Linked DNA regions of Danio rerio. The protein of the gene in region 2 interacts with the protein of the main gene of each other region in a pairwise test. Links are inferred from orthologs where the notes say so. Each region holds a gene or a part of one and is shown on either strand. Other genes may lie near its edges.

Evidence for each region.
Region 1: the proteins of ntaq1 (region 2) and lztfl1 interact in binary tests that used the Homo sapiens proteins (3 or more experiments, as listed by UniProt). The two-hybrid records come from large-scale screens. The link is inferred for Danio rerio from reciprocal best matches to the Homo sapiens genes NTAQ1 and LZTFL1.
Region 3: the proteins of ntaq1 (region 2) and amot interact in binary tests that used the Homo sapiens proteins (3 or more experiments, as listed by UniProt). The two-hybrid records come from large-scale screens. The link is inferred for Danio rerio from reciprocal best matches to the Homo sapiens genes NTAQ1 and AMOT.
Region 4: the proteins of ntaq1 (region 2) and tsc22d1 interact in binary tests that used the Homo sapiens proteins (3 or more experiments, as listed by UniProt). The two-hybrid records come from large-scale screens. The link is inferred for Danio rerio from reciprocal best matches to the Homo sapiens genes NTAQ1 and TSC22D1.
Region 5: the proteins of ntaq1 (region 2) and lonrf1 interact in binary tests that used the Homo sapiens proteins (3 or more experiments, as listed by UniProt). The two-hybrid records come from large-scale screens. The link is inferred for Danio rerio from reciprocal best matches to the Homo sapiens genes NTAQ1 and LONRF1.
Region 6: the proteins of ntaq1 (region 2) and kctd9a interact in binary tests that used the Homo sapiens proteins (3 or more experiments, as listed by UniProt). The link is inferred for Danio rerio from reciprocal best matches to the Homo sapiens genes NTAQ1 and KCTD9.
Region 7: the proteins of ntaq1 (region 2) and ncoa5 interact in a two-hybrid assay, tested with the Homo sapiens proteins (3 studies listed by BioGRID and IntAct). The two-hybrid records come from large-scale screens. The link is inferred for Danio rerio from reciprocal best matches to the Homo sapiens genes NTAQ1 and NCOA5.

What each region holds. Positions count from the first base shown.
Region 1 is NC_133199.1:12,588,448-12,591,140, forward strand, and holds the end of lztfl1 (leucine zipper transcription factor-like protein 1), read left to right. Parts: intron 1-1,212; coding exon 1,213-1,316; intron 1,317-1,473; coding exon 1,474-1,492; 3' UTR 1,493-2,193; downstream 2,194-2,693. UniProt on the Homo sapiens protein: Regulates ciliary localization of the BBSome complex. Together with the BBSome complex, controls SMO ciliary trafficking and contributes to the sonic hedgehog (SHH) pathway regulation. May play a role in neurite outgrowth. May have tumor suppressor function.
Region 2 is NC_133194.1:37,454,721-37,458,716, forward strand, and holds ntaq1 (protein N-terminal glutamine amidohydrolase), read left to right. Parts: upstream 1-1,196; coding exon 1,197-1,276; intron 1,277-1,356; coding exon 1,357-1,456; intron 1,457-2,629; coding exon 2,630-2,680; intron 2,681-2,760; coding exon 2,761-2,909; intron 2,910-3,334; coding exon 3,335-3,459; intron 3,460-3,545; coding exon 3,546-3,649; 3' UTR 3,650-3,665; downstream 3,666-3,996. UniProt on the Homo sapiens protein: Mediates the side-chain deamidation of N-terminal glutamine residues to glutamate, an important step in N-end rule pathway of protein degradation.
Region 3 is NC_133196.1:41,177,330-41,180,829, reverse strand, and holds part of amot (angiomotin), read right to left. Parts: coding exon 3,357-3,500; intron 2,820-3,356; coding exon 2,306-2,819; intron 1,702-2,305; coding exon 1,557-1,701; intron 1-1,556.
Region 4 is NC_133184.1:20,416,153-20,420,130, reverse strand, and holds the start of tsc22d1 (TSC22 domain family protein 1), read left to right. Parts: upstream 1-1,178; 5' UTR 1,179-1,729; coding exon 1,730-3,978. UniProt on the Homo sapiens protein: Transcriptional repressor. Acts on the C-type natriuretic peptide (CNP) promoter. Acts to promote CASP3-mediated apoptosis.
Region 5 is NC_133183.1:15,527,518-15,531,500, forward strand, and holds the start of lonrf1 (LON peptidase N-terminal domain and RING finger protein 1), read left to right. Parts: upstream 1-1,183; 5' UTR 1,184-1,257; coding exon 1,258-1,867; intron 1,868-3,983.
Region 6 is NC_133183.1:61,414,462-61,417,662, reverse strand, and holds the end of kctd9a (BTB/POZ domain-containing protein KCTD9a), read left to right. Parts: coding exon 1-54; intron 55-133; coding exon 134-239; intron 240-2,032; coding exon 2,033-2,166; intron 2,167-2,464; coding exon 2,465-2,581; 3' UTR 2,582-2,701; downstream 2,702-3,201. UniProt on the Homo sapiens protein: Substrate-specific adapter of a BCR (BTB-CUL3-RBX1) E3 ubiquitin-protein ligase complex, which mediates the ubiquitination of target proteins, leading to their degradation by the proteasome.
Region 7 is NC_133181.1:58,120,957-58,125,028, forward strand, and holds the start of ncoa5 (nuclear receptor coactivator 5), read left to right. Parts: upstream 1-1,272; 5' UTR 1,273-1,383; coding exon of another isoform or gene 1,384-1,480; coding exon 1,481-1,596; intron 1,597-2,158; coding exon 2,159-2,271; intron 2,272-4,072. UniProt on the Homo sapiens protein: Nuclear receptor coregulator that can have both coactivator and corepressor functions.

The DNA.
Region 1 (2,693 bases), on a different chromosome or scaffold from region 2:
AACAATTCTAACTCATGAATAGCAACTTATCTCGCTAGAAACTGGTGAAAAGAAAAGTAAGGAAAAGAAAGCTCTACAGTGTGATGCGCCATATTCTTCCCTATACTAAACTGTAGAAAAAAATAATAAAAAGCTGATGTTTACCTCTTACTTGATGTCTTTAACAATACATTTTCTACATGTTTGCTAAATGAAAGTTATATGACATCTTCTCTATTCACCTTACTCTGAGAAAAGAGTGAACCTGAGGAGGTAGGCCTATAGCTTAATTTGACGGGAAAGAGCTGAACCAAAAATTGCAAACAATCTAATCAATCAAAATGAAATGAAACAAATAAAAATCACAACATTTTTCAAAGTGGGCAAAAGTAATGCAACTTCATTTTACCAAAACGAAATTTATGCAAAAATCATAATCATGTCAGCAAAATACATTGAAAACAGGATCAAAGGAAATAGCGCTCCTCTTCGCTTTTCCTGACGTCCATTTTATATCACCACTCCACATCGCCCAATGATGATAGATCGGTCTCCCCACCATTCAGCTGTCATGAAGGCAGACCTACAGAAATGACAGGCATGGGGAGAGCGAGAGATTAGCACAAAGATCAAGCCTCTCACCTGAGAATGTGAACATCATGGTGTTTTGAAGAAGAACTTAACTTAATTGAATATTACAAATGTCCTTAGAAAGGACAAGCCTGTTTATCTTTTACTAGTCTACACTGCAGTTATTTATTTTATTTCAGTTTACTTCATTAAGATGGCTGCACTAAAGAGAATATTTTTTTCTGACTAGTCTATATTGGAGGTGTTTATTTAATTTTTCTAGTTTACTCGGGTATCCGGACTGTTCAAAAAATGTGATGGCAAAGTTAATAAATTAAGTGAATCTGTTGTTCCTTAGCACTGCTGTTAAGATGACATGAACCCTAACCCCACAGCAAACAGAAACCGAACCTAAACAAAACCAAACCGTGGCTCTAAAACCGTGAACCTAACAGAATCGTGCCATCGGTGTATCGTTACACCTCTAATATATATATATATATATATATATATATATATATATGATTTTTTTATTTATATGTATTTGTGTGTGTATTGTTTTATTATTATTATTTTATTTAAATAAACAAGGCAAACTTAAACAAAAACTATGTAAAGCGTCATGTGTTTGATAAATCATATTATGCTTTTTTATCCATTAAGGAACTGGAAAAGAAATTTCAGCAGACAGCTGCGTACCGCAACTTGAAGGAGATTCTCAATAAAAAGAATGAACAGATTAAAGACCTGAGAAAGAGACTACTAAGGTACAGTTAGAATTTATAATAATATAAATATAATATATATTACAAATATAATGAGTTCTATATAATATACCAATTATTATATTATATAATTGCTCAGAAAATGATATTGTTGAAAAAAAATAATTAATGTACAGTTGTGCCTTATTTTCTTTTTCAGATATGAATCAGCTGAGTGAACAAGCAACCCACAGGAAACTCATGAAGAGGTCATAAAGAATTTTTAAGCATATTTAAGCAAGCTGAAGTCTTTTTTTCTGTAAAGGGACACATTTAAAAAAAACAGGACCAAATTATGAGAAACAAGAATTTGCAAAAATAAACTGTCATCCCCATTGATGAGATGAGCTTTTTTGGGTCTGATACATAAGTTACACAATGTTGTAAGTTTTGCTGCTTTACACTAGATTAGAAATACTTCACTCAAACAAGAGCACAATTGATTGTAACACTTTAGTTGATCACATTCCACACTATAAACAATTTATTAACTAGCACTATTAGATTAATACACTACTAATTACCTGTTTATTAATAGTATAGTAGAAGTTGGGGATTAGGATTTGGGTAGGATTAGGAATGCAAAAGATTGTACTTTGACTACGAATGAACAGTTATTGTCTTAATAATAGACAGGTAATAAGTCAGTAGTAAATAACATGAATTGTGACCTAACTAAAGTGTTACCCAAGTAACTAGTTTTTCATTGTAGGGCTTGTTACTCAGATGTGATTTTTACATGTACCTAATTTTTACATTGAAGATTGTGGGCTCGCATTACTAAGGAGAAAACAATGTCCAGTGCTTTTTTCATGTTTACCTGATTAATATAGCTTCACTTCTGTCAGTTTCATGTTTCTGAGTAAAAAATAGCAATTGATATGTGCACATTGTTTCTTTCCATTTTCTTTTCTTTTCTTTTTTTTTTTTTTGTAAAGGTGTAACATTTAGGACTCCTTTTAATGTCTATTAAAGGATTTAACCTGTTATCATATAATGTATTCATATATATATATATATATATATATATATATATATATATATATATATATATGCATACATATTTCTGTCTGTCTAGCTGTATCTATTGCTTATTACCTCTGAGTGGTAAGGTTCAGTACTGTGCACATTTATTTCCTTTTCACTATCAAATGTACCAGAATAGCAAAAAAGCGCAGATTACTTTTTAGGAAATTAGCAATCCTAAGGGCAACTATAGCTCAACATTACAATACTAAGGATAAAAAATCTTGAGCCAGAACTTTTTTGGAGGGGGAGGGGGAGTATTTATTGTTATTATCAGCAAATATTGCTGATAATAACAAACATACAGTAATAAGAGCTTAAAGTGCTTAAAAAACTGATAGACTCTATTCAGTG
Region 2 (3,996 bases):
TTCCAGTTCACCAGCTCTCAAATCAGTGGGTCCACAAGTGCTAATGAGATCATTAGTAAAAGACATTCCTAAAAACGAGGTGTTAATGGTGGGCTTTTTCTGATGGCTACACCTCAAAACATAGGTGGCCCTATACATCTTGTTAAAAGAATATGGTTAATATTTGTTGGTTTAGCTTACTTTATAACATCATAAGTATTTGAATGTTATCAAATTTCATTTTAAACAAACACGTTAGCAAATAGTGGATTCTTAAACGGTAAAAGTGTAAAGAGCTGTTTATTTGTGGCTCAGAAATGGGGATTTAGCCTATGAAAACAATAAAAAGTGTAATAAAACAGTTGTACAAGTAAATAAATACATCTCTCAGAATGTGATATATTTAATCCAAAAAAATATTTACCTTATTTTACAAAAGACATCTTGTACGCATATATATTTAGAACATTTTGTGGCTTTTTATGACCAAAGCAAGTGTGAACCAAGACAACTTTTGACAAGACTACATAGTTATTCATTTAGACTATGTGCTAACCTCCTTAATATTAACTCATACTGTGGTTTTGGTAGACAATTTGAATGGACTGATAGTTTGAAACATATTGTCAGGACTCTATAATGAGTGAACATGTATAGAGAAATGAAAGGGTTTGAGATAAACATGCATTAGAAACAGAAACACATTTTCAGTTTAAAACAAAATATAGTTCACAAAAAAAATTTATAGATATCCACAAACATTTATACAAGTATGTGGCAAAAAACGAATTAACGTGCAACAAAATACAATCAGATACTCTGAAATTAGAAACCAATACATTGGCTAATTGTATTGAGTTGAGAACGATGCCTAACTGCACGTTATCTTTCGCTAACGTGTTTTCTACTTATGCTTTATGAAAGTTAGACTGTTTAATATTTATGCTGATAATCGTGCAAGTGCTACATTTGCAATTCACATAAGGAGTGAATGTTCGCGCATCACCTGTCTCGCCGGAACGACAAATCCCCTGAAGTTCCTTACGGACAAGATACATTGTAACAAGCAACAGTGCGGTTGCAACGCGAATCGCTTCATTGTAATATTAATGTAAATATCTATGGTATCATTATACACATGTATTCTTTTGTCATGTCGTTATAACTGGAAGTCCGCGTAAACCTACTGTATATACACGTATATAAGGAAGGAAAGAATGAATGAAGAAAGCGCTTCGTCTGAATATAAAGTGATCACCCCGTCCGGAAACCAATGTGTTTACACCAGCTGTTACTGGTAAATGCGATAATACCTGTAACATTATTTCAAATTTAAAACGTACCGTATTCATACACGTATTTAAATGTTTGTTGCAGTGAGGAGAATGTGTGGAAATTGTGTGAATATATCAAGAATCAGAGACATTGTCCTTTGGAAGAGGTGTATGCAGTATTTATATCTAATGAAAGAAAGAAGGTGAGCTTCATCTCCACACAAGTATTTTACATTTAATGAAATGTACAGTTTTCTGTTATATACATACATACACACACACACACACACACACACACACACACATACATATATATATATATATATATATATATATGTATATATATATATATATATATATATATATATACATATATACACACACACACACACACACACACACGTATACAGTCACCGGTCACTTTATTAGGTACAGCTTTCCAACTGCTGCTCAACGCAAAAATAAGCCAATCACATGGCAGCAACTCAATGCATTTAGGCATGTAGACATGGTCAAGACGATCAGCTGCAGTTCAAACCAAGCATAAGAATGGGAAAGAAAGGTGATTCCAGTAACTTTGAACCTCGAACCTTGAGGAGATGGGCTACAGCAGCAGAAGACCACATGGGTGCCACTCTTGTCAGCAAAGACCAGGAAACTGAGGCTACATTTCACACTGGCTCACCAAAATTGAACAATAGAAGATTGGAAAAGCGTTGTCTGGTCTGATAAGTCTCAATTTCTGCTGCAACATTCGGATGGTAGGGTAAGAATTTAGCGTCAGCAACATGAAAGCATGAATCCATCCTGCCTTGTATCAACGGTTCAGGTGGTGGTAGTGTAATGGCATGGGGGGTATTTTCTTGGCACACATTGGGCCCATTAGTACCAATTAAGCATTGTGTCAACGCCACAGCCTACCTGAGTATTGTTGCTGGCCATGTCCATGCCTTTATGACCAGTGTACCCATCTTCTGATGGCTACTTCCAGCAGGATAACGCACCATGTCATAAAACGCAAATCATCTCAGACTGGTTTGTAAAACATGACATGAAGTTCTGTAATCAAATGACTTCCACAGTCACCGGCTCTCAATTCAGTAGAGCACCTTTGGGATGTGGTGGAATGAGAGAATCGCATCACGGATGTGCAGCCAACAAATCCACAGCAACTGTGTAATGCTATCATGTGAATATGAACCAAAATCTCTTGAGGAATATTTCCAGTACCTTGTTGAATCTATGCCACAAAGGATTAAGGCAGTTCTAAAGACAAAAGAGGGTCCAACCCGGTACTAGTAAGGTGTGCCAAACAAAAGGGGCCAATGAGTGTATATATAGTATGTATGTGTGTTAAAAATTGTGTAATATTTCAGATACCTATTTGGAAACAAAAGTCCAGTCGAGGGGATGAACCAGTAATTTGGGTAGGAACTTTATATGTATAAAAACTATGCATATTTTATGGTAGTCTCTAATTGATATAAAAATGTTGTTTTCCATTTAGGATTACCATGTTATTCTTCTACACGCAAGTAAACAAGGACCGAGCTTCATTTACGATTTAGACACCATTCTTCCATTTCCTTGTTCGCTTGACGTTTATTCAATGGAGGCCTTTCAGTCTGACAAGCATTTGAAACCTGCTTACTGGAGGCAAGTATTATCTGGTCTAATCTGCATTCTACAAAAGATGAAATAACATAAGTGTAACAAGTACTTAATAAATTTATAAAAGAAAAGCACATCATAAAATGTGAGGACAAAATTGAATGAAGATTTTAATATGAATTAGTATTTTGAGGCTGCATTGTTATCCATTTAGTATGGCCTCACATTATTCTTGTTTTAAATATAACTTAGTATTTTAAACTACTGTTACACTTAACTACATTTTAGAGGTCATCTTATGTAAATTGTGGTGATGGACAATAGTCAATTAATTTACTTTTGCATTAAATAATATTATTTTTATATATATATTTTTTAACAAATGCTTAAACTCCTTTATGTCTTTGACCCTTATAATAATAATAGCCAGTCTTAGTTGAATGTAATCAAAGTGTTGTTTGCTCTTTTAGGAAACTTCGAGTCATACCCGGGGACACTTATTTGAAGGAGTTTGCTTCTGATCGGTCTCATATGAAGGACTCCGATGGGAATTGGCGTATGCCACCTCCAGCATATCCATGTTTAGAGACACCAGGTTTGTTTTCTATTGCAGATTTATATACAGTAAATACTATAATTTGATTTCTTCTTCCACTTTCATGTATAACGTGTCCTTTTCAGAATCCAAAATGAATCTTGATGACTTCATCTGCATGGATCCCCGAGTGGGATATGGAGAGGTTTACAGCCTTTCAGACTTTGTTAAACACTTTGGAGTAAAGTAATGCTTTTTTTCCAGCACATTTTTTGTTGTTGTTGTTGAAAAATGTACATAAACAGAGCCTCAGGGAAAGATCCTATTATGATGGAGAATGCTGCAACTAAGCAGGCCTCAAAAGACACATTTATTGACTCTGAAATTATTTTTACTAATTGAACAGTTGGCAATGTGGCTTAATTATAGTCAGGTAGAAAGGTCACAGAAAAGAAAGCCATTGTTGTCATTTGTCGAGGATGTGTATTATTTTTATAAAGAAATCAGTTACACAGATGTACAGATAATAAAAATGCAGAATTTAAACAAACAACCAAACCGAAATGCGAAACTGTGTAAGCAGTTGTAGTGCTGTAG
Region 3 (3,500 bases), on a different chromosome or scaffold from region 2:
GAGACTCTCTTCTTTATGCCAATCTTTGAATTGTATGAATCGGATCAGCGGATCAAAAGTTATTAAACATTTAAGAGCAATACTTATTTTTAGCCGCGGGCGGCTGTCTCGGTCTTTAAGGGTTAAAACCGTTGATATGCAATTGTTCATGGTATGATAATCGTGCACGTTCAAATCGTGGTAAACCGTCATACCGGTATATTGTTACAACCCTATACATATATATATATATATATACATACATATATATATACATACATATATATATACATATATATATATACATACATATATATATACATACATATATATATACATACATACATATATACATACATATATATATACATACATACATATATATATATATATATATATATATATATATATATATATATATATATATATATATATATATATATATATATATATATATACACACAAAAAGTCAACATATGCACCTTGTCCTTGACTTTTACTACACGCAGCGCACGCACATGAACAGTGAGTAAGAGAGGATATAAAAGCAAACAAGCTCTAAGGTAAAACCTGACGCTCAAGACATAATCTTTAAAATAATGACTTCTATTACAAATGTAGACAGTGGTTTGTGATATAAGAATTACAGCGGAGCATTATATAAATGCACATTTCCATAGAGCGCTTTTAGGTAGCCTGATATTTTTATTTCTTGGAAGAAAAAACATGGCAAAAAAAACAGCCGATGCTGGTTTTTAAAAAGGATTCAGTCAGTGTTTTCATTTTGTAATCTAAATTTGTAATTTAAGTGAAAAATAGGTAGACCTATTTGTTTTATTCTTTTTATTTAGCTTATTCTTGTTTCTATACTGGCGAAAACACTGCAGGTGCGTGAAAATGTTCTGTTGATAATATGTTCACATGTTAAAATCAATCAGTATTTTAAAATGCAATATTTATTGTGTCAGAAACAAAATAGACACGTTAATTATTTTGTTTTAAATTAAATAATAATTTGATATTAATCTGACTAGTTAATGGTTAATATTCAGTTAACAAGCAGCGGTTTCTGGTTGGCAAAATTAACCAAAATGAGCATCCCTAGTTGCTCTGCAGACTCCAACTGCAACACATAGCACTGCCTGTATTAAACATGCACACTGATTTGATGTGGGAGTAAAGGTATTTAAACAAATAGCTTAAGGTGAAGTAATATTTAAAGTTTTTATACAAGTGTCCTTGTATGATTACAGTTAAACCACTGAGAATGTCACTCTGAATGTTTTGGCAATGTTTCCGGTGAATTTTCTGGGCTTTGAATGTCTCTGGGCCATTACTGTCTATGAAGGGTCACTGAGATCTCATATTTATGTTACAAGAAAAGGTCTCAGGGGATAAAAACCACAATTGGTAGAGCAATTTAAGCCAAGAACAACACAAACATGTTTTGAGATCAGTGACAATTTTACTGCTAAAAGGTGTAGTATAGTGGTAAAGTACAATTCATGAATCTTCCTTTCATAATAATCTCCTCCTAATACTTTCAGAATACTCCGATATATTGCTATGTTTCTCACCTCGTAGGTCCCTGTTGAAGTCGTGCACCCTGCGCACCTCCATCTCCAGCTTATTTCTCATGGTCTTCTCAAGAGCTTCCCTCTTTGTGGATGATTTAGCCAAGTTCTCGTAAGCTTCTGACACCATCTGGATCTCAGTCTCCATCTGTAAAGAGATTACATTGCTGAGGCCTCACAGAAACAACAAAACAGATTTTGTACAACTAAAACATAGCATGCAACATTGCCTTCCACTTTTGATGTGTCACTCTTGATGTTGATGTCACTCTTGATGTGTCACCTAAAAATCTTTTCAAAGCTTGTTGAATCAAAAGTTTAGATGGTTATCATGCCAGAGTTGATCCTTGGTCATCTGAGAGCTTATTATAATATTTATAAACTCTTTTTTCCATAGAAACACCAAACACTTTTAAACATCTTTGTTATTAAACACACCTGATTCAACTCATCAGCTTGTAAGTAGAATCTACAGGACTCCAGAAACAGAATAATCAGATACCCAACACATCCAAAATGTTTTCTGTTGCTGTGCCTCCAAGAACAAAGTTGAAAACACTGACCTATCCTGAACTGACCTACATTTGCACTGACATGGAAATGGTTTCATTTAAGTGGATGTGGTACAGGTTATGACCTAAATTGAGCAAGCATTAAACATGTCTTTCTCTATCTCACTTACTCAAGGGTCCCCAATTAAATATTTGATTGTGTAATGGTAATGTAATGAGAAACTTCAAAGACAGTCATACCTTTTGTAGTTTGGACACTTTCTCCCCACACACCTCCAGCTCTTGCTTAAGCAAGCGGTTTTCTTCAGACAGCATATCCACCATCTGCTGGGCACGGGCAAGCATGGCATAAGGATCCCCCTGCATGGAGAGTGGATGTGAGTAGTGTTGTGCTGGACTCTGTTGCTGCTGCTGCTGGGGGCCCTGTTGGTGGTACTGGTGCTGGAGCATGTGGAGGCCCCTTGGAGCTGACCCATAATGATCATGTGGAAACACGTGGCTCCGTTGATGAGGAGGATGGCCTGGGCCGTATGGATCACCTTGGTGAGAACCAGGCCCCTGTGAGCTTCGAGCACCTATGGGGAAGGGTGGCTCTCCCGAATGACCCATTGGTGGAAGCGCATGGGAAGCAGCCAAGATGCTGCTGAGAGTGGAAGACTGAGCACGGGAGAGAGAGCCTCCAGACGTAACCGAAGATGAAGGGCTGTGGTGATGGACGGACCTTTGAGAGTGGCTTGAACTCTCCTTACTTGACCTATTGAGGAGCAGAATAATGAATTATACTCACATCTTGATTGATTGCAAGAGTAGTAGACAAATTCTAGAGAACTTTGTGACCTACAAAATAAATTTAAACTTGCATAACCAACGGCTTCTTTCAAGACATTCAGTCACTGTTGTGAAACGACTATGTACTGCATACCAACCGTTCACAAAAATATTTTTCACAGGTCAACATTCCTGGTTCTCTACAACAATAATGGACAAACTGTCATGCTGTGACATGTTGTAGATGATTATTTGAATTTGATATGCATACTTTTGCTATATGCCACACACTTGCTCTACAGTGAATGAATTCAGGGAAACAGGCAAAACTTGCTTTTCCCATAACAGGTTTCCTGACAACATGTCCCAGCATTTAAGGGAAGGGCTGTTTTGAGACTCATCACCTGAAGTTTTTTAACAACTGATATGCCAGGGAATGTAATATGCGCTGTAAGGTGCATCGCACCAGTTCCCATAAAGTCCCAAAATTCAGCCCACTTCTTAGCCTTTAAGGCACACTCACCGAAAAGAGCCGTACTCAGGTGGTGGCTGGTACCGGACATGAGGAATGTCAGTCCTGGCTGGTTGGCTTGTACCGCGGTGGTCTGGGTGGAAGTGTCCAGGCTCCTGGTGCTGAGGCTGATGGTGCTGTTGCTGTTTGGGTGGA
Region 4 (3,978 bases), on a different chromosome or scaffold from region 2:
AATTTTCACATATTCTATTACATTTTCACATATGACACAATGACTGGGTTTGTAAACAAAAATAAAAAAATCTGAGAACAAAAATCTAAGAACCAAATGATTTGTCAGACAAATTCCTTTCCTGAACAACTCACAAAAATCCACTATCAATCCATTTTAGAAATTGTTGGGATGAAGAAGTTTTTATTCACTGCATTTATCTTTTTATTTCAGAGACAGATTGTATAAGTTTCTGGTAGAATGTATAAATAATCAGTGTGGGTATAAATATCTGAGGTTTATAATGCGAAACTTGTTCCAGACAACAAAGATGGTATTCTCACAATCACAGCTGAAAGCTAAATATAGTTGGATCAGCACACATGTAATAAATTCCTGTTGTATTATAGTGTAGCTTGTCTGAAACAAAGCATATATTTTGAGTTCACATTTTGGATATTATTCATGTTAAAGTAAAACAGCTGAATGTTTTTTTTTTGTGTCTGCTGCACCTAGAACTTTAGTTCTCTGCTCCCCAAACAGCAACAATCAGATTGTGTGAAAAAAAAAAACTGTGTCAGTGCAGATGTGTTTGGTTGCTCTTTTCTGTCTGTGGAAATATCTGGGTTCTCTTTCAGACGAGTTGTTTTGTAAAAACAGAACAAATCTCTGGACTATGTTGACAACATTGTTGTCACAAGGTCTGTTTGCATCTTGTTGATGTAGCTGGCCTGTATAGGCCAACACACACAATAGCAGCTAACTTAAAATAGCGTTTTGCTTAATCGTTCATATGTTTAATCTGTAGTAGGTTATATTTTATAATTAATTTATGTTCAAAATTAAATCTGAAGTCGATTTTTATAAATATAAAATTTTATACATTTAAAACTGGGAACCAGAAATCTATGCCCTGCCTTTTTCGTCTCTCCTTCAATGTCAAATAATAATAACCACGGCGGACAAAAGATGTTATTCTGAGTGTTTGCTGCCACAGTTACCGAAGGCTATAATAAGAAACACCCCTCAACCAACACAGTTGGTCGCACTCGGCTCCACTCGGGCCTCTTCGGAACTCTTCGTCGACCGTCTCCTGGAAACCCCCCTCCCTCCTCGCCTCCGCCCATCCTCGCCAGACTCTCTGGGCTTTATGTCTGGCCGGGTGGACGTGAACTGCCATGCGCGGTCGCCATGTTATCGCGCTCTCCTCCCCTTTTCGGGGACTCGTCACAGGCTCATAGCACTAGCACAGGCTACATTACAAGGAGGCAGCTGGTGAATAGGAGCAGAGTGGGAGAGAGACATTGCGCTAACACAGGAATAAAACAAAAGAAAGCACGGGATGGAATAAAGCAGGACAGCGCTGAGTTGCTCGCTTTCTCTCTGTCATCTGACGCCGGCTGGAGGACTTAGTTTCGTGTGATTTCGTGCTCTGGTGACTGCGATACAACAATTGAAAATGCGCCTGGCAGTTTGAACTGTGATGGGGAGAAACCGTGTCGTTATAAGGTTGGATATTAATCGCCTCGGCCGTCTGTGTCGACTCCTGCACGCTTAAACTTCACCGATATGGTGTGCTGAGTGATTTAGTGAGGATATACCTTTGAAAACAACAGCCGAAGCGAATCCGTGTCGGCTAGCTCGCTAGCGACTGTTAACTTAGCATTGGCATTAGCCTGCTCCTCATGGTGGACATTTAAATACACCTCAAGTGGAATTATTGTGGCAGTTAGAAGAACGTGTTGGTTTTATGTGGAAATTACTCGAACGGCTTGAAGTTGCTTTCCCAAAAGAGCTTGTTCTCTTGAGCTGCGTTTATAACTTTGTCAGAGACTATACTCCAGCAATGAATCACCACGAACGATCCGGAGACTCCGGCAGCGCCCGAAAAATGGTTTACCCCATGAGTTTACCCAGACGGGAGAACAGCAGCAGCACAGTAGGTGGTTCCTCTACATTGACAACTTCAGCAAGCACCAGCCTTAATAGCAACAACTTGATGCTGGCGGATGAATATTCCCCACCAGTGCTGATTCAGTCTCAAACGCAGACTGCGTCCTCGCTCGGGCCCCAGAACCCTCCGCATAGCCTGAGTATCCCCTTGCAGACACCCATGTTACCCCAAACGTTGCCCACTGCAGTTGCACAGATGAAGAAGAAGAGTGGCTTCCAGATCACCAGCGTCACCCCGGCGCAGACATCTGTGAGCACCAACAACAGCATTACAGAAGACACAGAGAGTTGTGACGACCTGGATGAGTCCCACACAGAGGACTTGTCATCCTCTGAAATCATGGATGTGTCTCTTCCACGGGCCAACAATTCAGGAGGTCCTGAAAGAAGCTCCTCTGAGGAGACGCTGAATAATTTTCATGAGGCGGAGACCCCTGGTGCCCTGTCACCCAACCAGCCACCCATTATAACCCAAGCACACCTGCATGGCACCATGGTTAACGGAACTGTTCACCACCACCATCACCACCACCACCATCATCACCATCATAATCCTGTTTCCTCTGGAAAAACCCATCCTGCTGGAGGGACACTGATTGGGGTACCTTTGGGTGCCCCGGTCACATCTGTGGTGACCTCAAGTTCGGCTAGCACAGGCCAGAAAATGCCTTCAAATGTGGTGGGATTGATTGAGAATGCCTCTGTTGGCACAACTAGTGCCATCGGACAGCCTTTGGCTACTCTCGCCTCTGGAACTGGAGTGATTTCTGTGACTTCAGGTGCCACGATTAGTACTGGTAATACTTTAACTAATAATGTTTCCGTGTTAAACTCTGCCAGTGTGCCTGTTGTGGGTGGCAAGACTACCAATAGTAGCAGTGTAAACTACTCCTCTGCTTTGAATAGTATTAGTAACCAAACCCCAAACTTGACCCACGTTCCCAGTGGAATAATCGGCATGGGCATCACCGCTGCTGCCACGGTTTCCGGTAGTGTTGCGTCAACAGGTGGAGGGCAAATGGGGCCAGCTGTCATGGGGCAGCATGCAATGCCTGCACCCTCTGTCCCAGTGATGAGCGCTCAGCCTCAGCAGGCCCAAGTGCCTACTCCTGCCTCCACCAGTTCACGTTTCAGAGTGGTCAAATTGGACTCTACCTCTGAGCCTTTTAAGAAGGGTAGATGGACTTGTACAGAGTACTATGATAAGGAAGCCCCAAATGTGGCATCCTCTGAAAATGCCCCTAGCACCCGAACAGTGGAAAGTATCCGTCAGTGTGTGCCTGAAAGTGTGGCGGGACAGGACCGAGACACAGTCAGCGGGAGCTCTGTCAGCAGCTCAGCTAGCCATTACACTGAAAGTCTGGGCAGCGGTGAAACGGGCGGCCCCTCTACTGTGAAGCAGACCTTCCAGCAGCCCATGTCTCAGATGCAACCCCAAGACTTAGTTCAAGTGCATCTTAAAACGAATGCAGCAGCTCCGATGCCGGCAACAGCAAACATTCAGCAGCAACCGCCTGCATCTATCGGAGGATTGCAGACCACGATTGTTCAATCGTCTGCACCTCTACCCTCTCATATGCCCAAACTGACATATGCCCAAGCAGCCCAATCCCCTCCTGCTCAAGCTCTGCCTGTGGTGACCCAGCAGCAGATGGGCTATCCGCCCGCACAGCAGCCAGCTGCACCAGCCCAGGTAGCACCAACACATGTTAACCCCTTAAGCCAGGGAGGCAGCCTGCCATCTGACTTCTCCCAATCCAAGCAGATCCTGAGCACTGTGCCACCTGGGTCAACAAAAACTCTGCCCCACCTGTCCGCCTCCATCCCTCCTGTGGCTCTCGCTGGTAATGGTCAGATGATCACACCCTCCTCGCAGCCCCCTACTGCTCAGCCACTTCCGCAAGGGCTCCTGCAGCCACAACAGACACCCGCCCCGCAGATGGTCCAGGTTGTGCCGCAGCTGGTGCAGTCCACTGGCACCACTCTTATACAGCAGACACCAGGCCAGCAGCTCACCTCACAACCCTCCATGGAGCAGCAGCAGCA
Region 5 (3,983 bases), on a different chromosome or scaffold from region 2:
ATGCGAGTGTGTATAGGTGTGTTTGCATGCAGCAAGTTTATATGTATGTGCGTGTGTTAATGTGGGTGTTTATGTGAGGATCGAGTTTATATGTATGTGCGTGTGTATGTGGGTGTATTCATGCGTCAAGTTTATATGTATATACAAAAAGTTTCATCCATGTTGTTTTGAACATCCAGTAGTATAGGTGTATATGCAAGTAATTTATAGGTGTATATACACGTGTTTTATGTATGTGTTGATAAGCAATTGTTTGATTTAAATCCTATACGGCACCTCATATGCTACCACTGATCTATATACACTTTTTGATAAGTGGCTGCTTCATATTTTTGTTGAAGTAATAATATATTATTTAAAAAAACTCCAGCTCTTTTAGTCAACACTGATATAACATTTTTTCAAAAGAAAGAAAAAATACATTCATAATGTTACAAAAGATTTTATTTCAAATAATTCAATCCTGAAATCACAGCAAATCAGCATACTAGACTGATTCTTCAAGGTCATATGACACTGCAAGCATCACACATTGTGCTTAACTTAATAAAGTGGTGATCGCATAAAAATGATTTCCCAACCCTGAATTACGCATATCTATCGGCCACTGATGCTTTGCAATGGGAAAATGTTATCAGACTTATCTCTTGTGCAATATGGAATTACGTATGTGTGTGTTGACCTATATATTACATGACTACCGACATTCCGACAGACTTAACACTGTTGAGTAACAGACCCAGACATTCAACCTATATGCCAGGCCCCTAGACAATTCACACAAACACATTTAGTTAACACAGGAAATCATTGATCTCTTTTCTCAAAACAAATACACATCAGTGAAACACGCAAAACAAATCCTGATGTTATATCACACACGATGTCCGGTCAGTTAAAATGTTTTTTCCACCAAAACGCCCAGCATAAAAGTGAATAACACATGATAGTCTGATGACACGCTGACTTCTCTGGATTTATATGCATGCATTCTTTCAAATCAGCCCTTTTTCTCGCTATAGTCCCGAATTGCTCGTTACAAAACTCCGAGCTTCATGTTTTGTAATGCGCCTCGGCTGCCAATGGACGCGCTCGCTCACGGTCACGTGAGTGTATTTTTACGTAACTCGCGGACAAAACGCCAGTATGTTTAGGAGCGCGAGTCACTACGTTCTTCTACACTGTTAACCGTAAGAATGCTTTGACATTTTTATCATTTATTATATTTTGCCAGTTCAGTGGGCGTCGCTCGCAAACATGTCGTTGCGGAGACTAGACCAAGACTACGCTTTGGAGGAGAGAGGACGGTTTTTTATACCATCCGAAACTGAAGGCGACTGGGACGTGGACGAGCATGTCGATCACCGTCAACTTGTTTTGCTCAAAGCTGAAGCTTTAGCGTCGGAAAACCGTCTCAAAGAGGCTGTCGATATGTTCGCCATGGCTCTCAGATACGGTCCTGTCAGGCCGGAGCAGCTGAGCAGTTTGGTCGGATGCGTCCTGCGCAACTTCAAGAAGAAATCAGAGGAGTCGCCAGCGAGAAGTGAGCCGAACTGGACACAGGACTGTGAATTAGACTGCCCTGGTTGCCACTGTTTCATAGCCGAGCCCGTGACGGTGACCTGTGGACACACGTATTGTAGGAGATGTTTACAGCATAGCACTTTTTCTCAATGCAAAGTGTGCAACGAGGACATTAGGAGGAGGCCAGGTGAACCCCGGCTGAATGTGATATTGTGTGGACTTTTAGACAAGTGGTTTCCAGAAGACGTCAAAAGAACTAAATATTTAGGGGAAGCTGAAAGCCTGTTGAAGAGTAAACAGTACGACAAGGCGATTGCACTAACGAGTCGGTTATTAGACTATGGTAAGTTCGCATCCTCCTGTTTTATTGTTGTTGTTATTATTATTGTAAAATATATGCACTGTCGGAAGGGTAATTGGGTCAAGTTTTTATATTATTAATAGGAGGTTTAAGGAGTTCCACTGACCAACATTTGGATGGCCAGCTGTAACTTACATATTAGCCCCGCCCCCCGCGGTCATGTAACAGGAGAGTGGCTGCATTACAAAACGTGTTCGCATGGCGCATGCGCACTCGCCGCGCGTTGTGTAAGGCAGGTCGTGACACAGAGAGTGTTTTGTAATCTGAATCAAAGTGAGTTTTATAATAACAAGTAGAACAGTGCGTTATAGCCATAATGTTCTATTGTTTATTCACGAGACCGATGCGTGAGGGCTGTCATGTCCTGTTGGTTGAATAGTAACCTAAATCCTAAAACGCTTTTGGTAAACAACAGCTGAAAAAGGTTGCAATGTCAAAACAGGCATGAATTGTTACTTTGTATTTAACGTTTTTTATCAGTTTTTACCTTTTATGAGTGTATTTTTGGGTGTTTATGCTAACAACTAAGTTTATCAAAAGGCGTAATAGAAGTGCAAGTTGTATACCAAAATTCAAAAGCAGCTGGACTGAAAAGACTGCAGACTATATATATATATATATATATATATATATATATATATATATATATATATATATATATATATATATATATATATGTGTGTGTGTGTGTATATATATATATATATATATATATATATATATATATATATATATATATATATTTACACACACACACACACACACACGTATGTGTGCGTGCGTGTGTCTGTGTGTGTATATATGTGTGTGTGTGTAATATATATAATTTATATTCATTTTCATTCATTTATTTTGTCCTATTTAGATCCTGAATACCCATATATAACCATGACACATTAAGTTCAGTATGTTATGTTATGGAGAACCTTGAATTTCTATTCCAAATGTCTGGATGTCGACAAATTCCTCTATTCGGGTTATAAACAGTATTACATTACATCAGCTGGTGATTCCTGATTTAAAAGAGATAATCTTTGTCCTTTTTATATGAGTTTATATAACTTTTCTCACATCAAAATATTCTTATTATTATTATTTAAATGCATTGTTGATTCATAAAAATCAAGTGGCAGGCAAGAAAACATTGAGTTGCATAACATATATATAAGGTCATCTTGTGTAGTTAAAATTGGAAGGACTTTTTTATTTAGTAATCACACTGTGTTCTGGGCACATGTTTTGATAAAAGTGTGTGTTCCAGATAAGTAACATCATTGAGCAAATCAGAGGTACAGTATAATCATGGTGCGGCAGTCTCATCTTCACTGCTGTGTCCTCATTTACCCTGCTGGAGGAAAAAAACAAGGCAGCCCTGCAGTGTCACTCAGTTCATGTTCCCTTGTGGCATGTCGGTTCACAAATGTCTCTCGTTGATCTTCTCATCTTACACATCATAAAATCTCGGGGATCACGAGTATGAAAATTAATGACACAGCGCCTGTCAGACTGTAGAGGCAAGATAGTGCAGCTGGATAGGGTAAAAAAAGGCAACAGCTAAGAGTTATTACTATTTTTTTTATTTTCGATTACATTAAGATTTTCAAACTCATTTTGCATTGCAGCTGTATAAAAAGTTACATTTTAATCAAATAAGGCATTGTTTTGTTAAATATGTGCTTATTTTCATACTTTTCTATCACAAGCATCTGAGCATTGATTGAAGTCAGACTGAAAATTCCTTTTATTATTATTTTTTTGACATATTAGAGAAAAAAGTTTTTAAAGAAGGGATTTGAGGAGTCTTTTATACATTTATACACTCACCCATCCTGTCTGTCTGTCTGGCTATCTCACCATCTCTCAATAGTTACATTACATATGCAATGTTGAGAGTTTATATGTTGGGATTGTATTTGAGCATAATGATAATTGGCCATAAGTTCGCAAAACACGAGGTTTGTGGAGTTTAACCATAATAAAAGTTTATTATTTGCGTGTGTTTTTAACACCTGTGACTTTGCATCCCCATTTCTAAATTTAGTAAAGATTTATTTTATTTAACTATGTACAATGTTAAATCTAAAATAAAATTAAATCT
Region 6 (3,201 bases), on a different chromosome or scaffold from region 2:
AACCTGTGCTGCTCAAACCTAGAGAGAGCCGACCTGTCGGGAGCCAACCTGGATGTGAGCCCTTTATCTCTTGCTCTGGGACAAATCTCCTTCTTTTTCATCTCTCAGTTTGTTAAATGATCCTGTTCTCCAGGGTGCTAATCTTCAGGGCGTGAAGATGCTCTGCTCCAATGCGGAGGGAGCGTCTCTTAAAGGATGTAACTTTGAGGATCCCTCTGGACTTAAAGCCAATTTAGAGGGTAAAACTCCTGCATATTTAAATCCAGTGTTTATTTTATCTAGTAGAATTAAGCTGATGGACCCTTTTCACATGACATATTATGACACATTTAACGTCGTCAGCACCTTGAAGGTTTGGAATGTTTAGATTTTAGATTTTTTTTAAACGTGTGAACATTTATATGTGTTTATGAATATTTATTTACCTATATTTACATACACTGTATAAAAAGGCACATTTAAAAAACATATTTTAAAAAAAAAGGTTTTTTTTTTTTTTTACTAAACTGTTTCTCTTTTAGGTAAGTTAGAATTATTGAATTTGTTTCTGTTCTGCTTAATAGCAGAATAATGAGAGAGAGATTTTTTTGAGAAATTGTTTTAACTTTTATTGAAATTCAAGTTCACATACAGTAAGATTATTCTGCCTCTGAAAAACCTCACATGATGCTGTCAAGGTTTTGGAAGTTTCTGATTGGCTAATTGACAACATTTGAGTTAATTGGAGTCACAACTGTAGAATAGTATTTAAGGAAAACCTCAAACACACTGCTTCCTTGTGTGACAACATGGGAAAATCAACAAGCCAGAATCAACAACAAAAAAAAAAGCCAGATTACAATTTGCTAAATTACACTGGGAAAAGAATATTTTATAGAGGCATGTCCTGTGGTCTGATGGAACTAAGATTGAACTGTTTGGCCATAATGACCAGTGTTACATTTGGAGGACAAAGGGGAAGCTTACAAGCCTAGGAACACCATCCCAACTGTGAAGTATGGGGGCGGCAGCATCATGTTGTGGGGCTGTTTTGCTGTAGGAAGGACTGGTCCACTTCACAGCATAGATGGCATCATGAAGAAAGAACATTATGGAGAAATACTGAATCAACATCTCAAGACATCAGTCAGAAAATTAAAACTTGGCCACAAATGGATCTTCCAAACAGACCATGACCCTTAGCATACTGCCAAATGAGTTAAAATGTGCTTTAAGGACAACTGAGTGAATGTTTTGGAGTGGCCATCACAAAGCCCTGATCTCAATCCTATAGAAAATGTGTGGCCAGAGTTGAAAAAGCTTGTGCGAGCAAGACAGCCTACAAATCTGACTCAGCTACACCAATTCTGTCTGGAGGAATGGGCCAAAATTCCTGCAAACTATTGTGTGAAGCTTGTGGAAGAAAACCCAAAACATTTGACCAAAGTATACAGTTTTAAAGCAAAGCTAAAAAAAAAAAAATACCAAGGAAATGTGTTTAAACTTTTGACTGTCTAGAAATAAAAAAAAAAAATCTAAAAAAAAAAATCTTATTAATCTGGTATTTAGCAAATGTAAATCATTTAGGTAATCCTAACGGACCTAAAATAGTAAACATTTAGTATGATTTAACACCAGACATTAAAAAAAATGGCTATGTTCCTTTTTTCAGAGTGTATGTAAAATTCTGGTTTCAACTGTATTTGGACATTGACACAATTCTAACATTTTTAGCTCTATACACCAGCACAACCGATTTGAAATAAAACCAACAAGATGTGTTTTAACTGCAGAGTGTCAGCTTTAATTTGAGCGTATTAACATCCAAATCAAGTGACCGCTGTAGGAAGAGTTTGCATATGCGCCTCCCACTTGTTAAGGGACCAAAAGTAATCAGACATTTGGCTTCTAAACTGTTCCATGGTCGGGTGTGTGTTATTTCCTCATTATCCCAATTACAATGAGCAGATAAAAGGTCCAGAGTTTTTGGGTGAACTGTGCCTTTAATGTTGAACTGCCATGTTTTAAGCAATGTTTTTGCTGTGCGCTTTAGGGGCTAATCTGAAAGGAGTGGACATGGAGGGCAGTCAGATGACTGGGATAAATTTGCGTGTGGCTACGCTGAAGAATGCTAAGCTAAAGAACTGTAACCTGCGTGGTGCTACATTAGCCGGCACAGATCTAGAGGTGAGACGGCAGTGTTGATTGAATGTTTGAAAATGTTTAGAGATTTTTCAAAGGAAGAAGAAAAATATGAACAATTAAAGTCAGAATTATGAGCCCTGCATATTTTTTCACCAATTTCTGTTTAACGATAAGATTTTTTAAAACACATTCCTAAACATGATAGTTTTAATAACTCATTTCTAATTACTGATTTCTTTTATCTTTGCCATGATGATTGTAAATAATATTTGACTAGTTGTTTTTCAAGACACTAGCATCCTGCTTAAAATTACTCTTGATTATTTGATTGTGTGTTCAGAACTGCGATCTCTCAGGCTGTGATCTACAGGAAGCCAATCTGCGTGGTTCAAATGTGAAAGGAGCCATCTTTGAGGAGATGCTGACTCCGCTGCACATGTCTCAAAGCGTGAGATAACCACTTACTCTGCTCACCGCCCGGTAAAAGCCACCAGCCAGCTCCTCACAGCACTCTCTTACCCACAATCCTTTTCACGCTCCTGTGAAAACTTATGCAATACTAGCACTTGTTTTGCCAGCCCTCTTTGAGCTTTACTCACTGCAAAAAAAAAAAACTAAAAGAAATTCTACTTGCTTAGGATTTTTGTCCAGTTTTCGGGCCAGATATCTAAAAATTCTTCAGTCAAGAAGCACTTTCTACACAAATTCAAAATATTGTTTTGTTTTCAGAATCAGTAAGTCAGAATTATCTGAGTTTTTTTTTGTTAAAACTAGCTAAATAATCTTCCATTAGGGTAAATAAAATGTTCTTATTTCAAACTGAAACCAAAATTGTTTTGCTTATGCCATTGGCAGTTTATTTTGCTTGATTTAAGGTAAAACATTTGTTATAGTTACTAGTTACTTCTCATAAAAAGTAAGTAAAAAAAGTTAGTAACTGGATTACATCATTATAAAACTAACTAATTACCAGCGAAAGTAACTATTGCGTTAATTTTTAAAAATGTCCAAAAAGTGACCGCTGTATGTTTAATAAATTGGACACTAAAATAAATAAATTATTATAAATAAAACATT
Region 7 (4,072 bases), on a different chromosome or scaffold from region 2:
TACATTTTAGAAAGTTATCGGGTACTCGGGTAAAAATCTATTTAGAATATTTTATACATATTAAAGAACCTTAAATAATTTCAATTATTGTAATTTACTGTTTGTTTGTGTTAATGTAATATTTGTGTTTTTGCCATAATGATATGGCAATAAAACAATAAATAAGTACAATGTTTACTTCACAAACTGTAGTATTTACTTTTAAGCTACTGTTGAAATGCTTATAATTTAAACAAACAAATGATGCAGAACAAAGTGTTTCTCTTTTGTTAATCAAACACTCGTTTGGCTCTGAAATATTTCCGTCATCTGTCATGTTGAACGTTTGGATTGGTTTATTTTCAGATGTAAATATGGCAGCTGAGAGACGACAGAATAAATCCAGATCAAGTCCTCCACGCAGGTAATGTATCGCTGGGATCTTTTTGCTACTGAAGACGACATCTATCGAGAATTTTGGTAACCGTTTTCCCCTCCACACCGGAATTCACCAATATCGCAATATCATTGTCGGGTGCGCAAAATTGGTTCAGTTTACATTTCTCGTGGCTTTTCGCTTTTTAGTTTGTTCAGTTTTTTTTTTTTTTTTTTCTTCCAATTTTCCTTTTAGTTGTATCAGAATTAATTGAAATAAAGTTGAAAGGGTAATTTGAGTGCATTTCCCTTGGTGTGTTCTTGTCTAAACGGTGTGTTATTCATTCTGTTCACTTACTATGCACGGTTTTCAAACAGTTACGGGTTCTCGACACTCCAATTATCACTTCCTAAAACATAAAAAAAAAACAATTTCATTTACTTGAATGGGATGTAAAGAACTGAACAGTAATTTAAACAATTTCAGTCGTTCACTTAATGGCTGGATTTCTAAGTAAGATTTTGGAGGTTGTCAGGTTGGTGTGTATCTTCCAGTCACCACCTTTGTCTGTTCATCACCTCTGCTTTAAAACTATTATTTTAGCAAATCATTTTGCTGACGTGGATCGGAGTGGAAGCAACAAAAATGTGCTGTTTGACTTTGTTCAAATGCATTTTATTTAGCAAAAAATGTAAATAAAAACTGTTTATGACTCGTGGAAACTAAATATTAATGATTATCACAAACAGATGAGGTTCGACATGTAGTTTAATTTAGGAAAGGGTTATATTTAGAATGTGCGACGGTTCGTTTTATAAAATAAATGACGTGAATTTTGCGACGGGCATCACTCATGCTTGTACGGTACAACAAAACAAAATGTTCATTGTGTAATTTTACCATTTGATTTTAATCTTGTAATCATTTTGAAGCACTTCAAAGTAAATTTTAGTAGTCTTAATAGAGATTAGTTTTGGGGAAACGTGTTTAGTTGTCATGTGTTGATTGAGTGTATTTATTCTGTTCAGGCCATCCAGCTCTTATGGGGAGAGTCGCGAGCCCCGTCCTCGCTCTCGGTCCCCGGTGCACGCACGAGATTCTCGCTACCACCGTGAAAGTCGAGAGATGAGGGCCAGCAGCCGTGAATCGCGTCCCTCTTCTACACGTGAACATGAGGATAGACCCCCAGCTGAAGAACGATACAGGGGGTCTGAGAGCAGGGAGAAAGAGCCTTCCTTAAGGTGCACAAACAGGACATATAAAGGAGTCATGAACTGAGAAACCAAAATACCCTTGATCTTTTGACATATAAGAGGTTATCATACTATTAAAACATCCAAAAACATTTCAGAACTCAAAACTGAAAACTTGTGGCTTGTTTAAAAGCAGCTTGCATTAAAAGGCAGTCTAAAGAAACCACAGGTTCTGGAATGTTCTCCTTTATGATGTAATAGGGTGGATAAGCTTTGCCTCTGTAGAAGGTTGACTTCTGATTCACTGCCTGTTTAGCCCTGCTAATATTCAAAAATGTTAGCCATCAGAGCAGTGGGCTTTATCCAAAAAGTGTACATCCATTATCAGAAAACAAACAATGCTTTCTGATGAAAGGGTCAAAAACAGGACAGAAAAAAGCCAATCGCTTTTTTAAAAACTAAATAGTGAAGTTTTTATTAAAAGTCATTGAGTGGATCTCAGTAGACAAGAGTGCAAAAAAAGTAGTTCATGACCCCTTTAAGATTGATTTGGTAATTTTGTTCCTAAATTTAAGTAGTTTTCCTGTCTAAATGTACAGTGTTTTTACAGAGAGGAAGGTTATGATCGTTATTATCGTGGAGATTACGATTATTATCGGAAGAAAGACGAGGCATACTCGGATCGATACAGAGACCCCTGGAACGGCAGAAGAGAGCCAGAGGGTGGGTTAATAACACTTTTACTAATATTTTTTATTCTTAAAATAAAATTGGTTTGTTGCATGAAGTAAATTGACATTTTTGTGACAAATGTTTACACCAAGTAGTGATTTTCGTTTGCTGCATAAGTTGTAATGAAAATATGGTGCTGCAAGTGCTACTCTAATTTTTCTGTTCAAATAACTGACAAATGACAAAATGGGTAAGGTTAGATATTAAGATATTCATAGAAATGATTGGTTTTAAACAATTTTTTCTTTTAGAAATTGAGTGTTTGCATGAAGTGAAAATGACTATTAATGGATGACCAATATGATATGACAGCAGGGCTCGAAGTTGCGACCATTTTGGTCGCATACGCGCCCGACATTTAATCTATGCAACCTCATAATATATTTGCGAGCATTTGTGCGACTGCATATAATGGGTGTAGTGCGACCTGTTTAGATTTTTTTTTTCTAAAAACGTGCTGAATCGCTCTTCTCTGCCGCTATATTGGTTCATATTAGCTGTCAATCACTCAAGACTTTCCGCTGTCAGATGACTGGGAGCTTTTGTGACCGCGGGTAATTCAAACGACTGAAGAGTGAAAAGTACACTGAATCTCGATGCGTTGCATTCACTACGTGTTCAGCACAAATGTACGATAAATGTAAAATCTAACACTTTACACACCATCACCAAAGAAGCTCAGCTTTACTAAGTTTAAACTGATGCGGCTTATAACAAAGAGCGGTATTGCACCAGTGGTCATCGGGAAAATCCTGCTCTGCCCCCTCATATATTGCATCGGCTGACTCACCTGCTTTCCACAAACACAGAAAAATGAAAATCAGCTCATAACGAAACTGAACATTAAAATGACACAAACCCAAACTTTTAAAAGAGAGACTTTTCTTACTTTCTTTTGTCTGTTCTTTCGTGAGATGTATATTGTTTTTCTATTTAGTTACTGTTGACTGCTTTGCAGCTTTTAGCATTGAATGGAATGATTTATTATAATCTTTCGTTTGTTTTGTAGCAGAAATAGTATTTATTAAATTGACACGCATATGAAAACAATAGTGCAAAATAAATATTTCTTACTCAAATGCTTCTTTTGTGTTTGATGCAAACCATACATGTGTTTTTCATAAATTAACAGTGGGACTTTTATAGCAAATAACTCGCACTCAAGCACATTCAAGGCTGCATCATAATGAGAAATGTAAAGCATTGTTAGCATCATTGACATCATCGTTATCATTAATATTTTATAATTATTAGACATTCATTTTGGAATTATTGCACAAATATTAAGTCATCACAGCATTAGTTAGATAGTTGTTTCTGCTTTTTGTTAGTCCTAATTGATGTTGTTTTCAAATACAATAAATCCCTTAATATACAATTTGCAATGGTGCTCATTCATTTTTGGTGGGTGCTCCTACATTTTTTCTGAGGCTTTTAAATATTTAAAGATGGGAGCACCAGTGCTACCAAGTAAAAAGGTTAATTTAGAGCCCTGGACAGGGCTTCTCAAACTTGGTCCTGGATGGCTGGTGTCCTGCAGATGTTAGCTCCAATTTGCCTCAACACACCTGCACAGATGTTTCTTGAAAGCCAAGTAAATCCGCGGTCACATTAGAGTTTGAGCTTGCGAAATTCTGTCGTACAGAGCAGCGATAAGGGGTGGGATTAAACAAGATGATTAGACAGTTATAAAAGCAAGCGATTGGTCCATATTTTACGTTTCTGTGCAGAGAGGTCATGTTTGAATTTTCGATTCGTCTCGCACAGTCACGTGATGCAATTTCGCATGTCT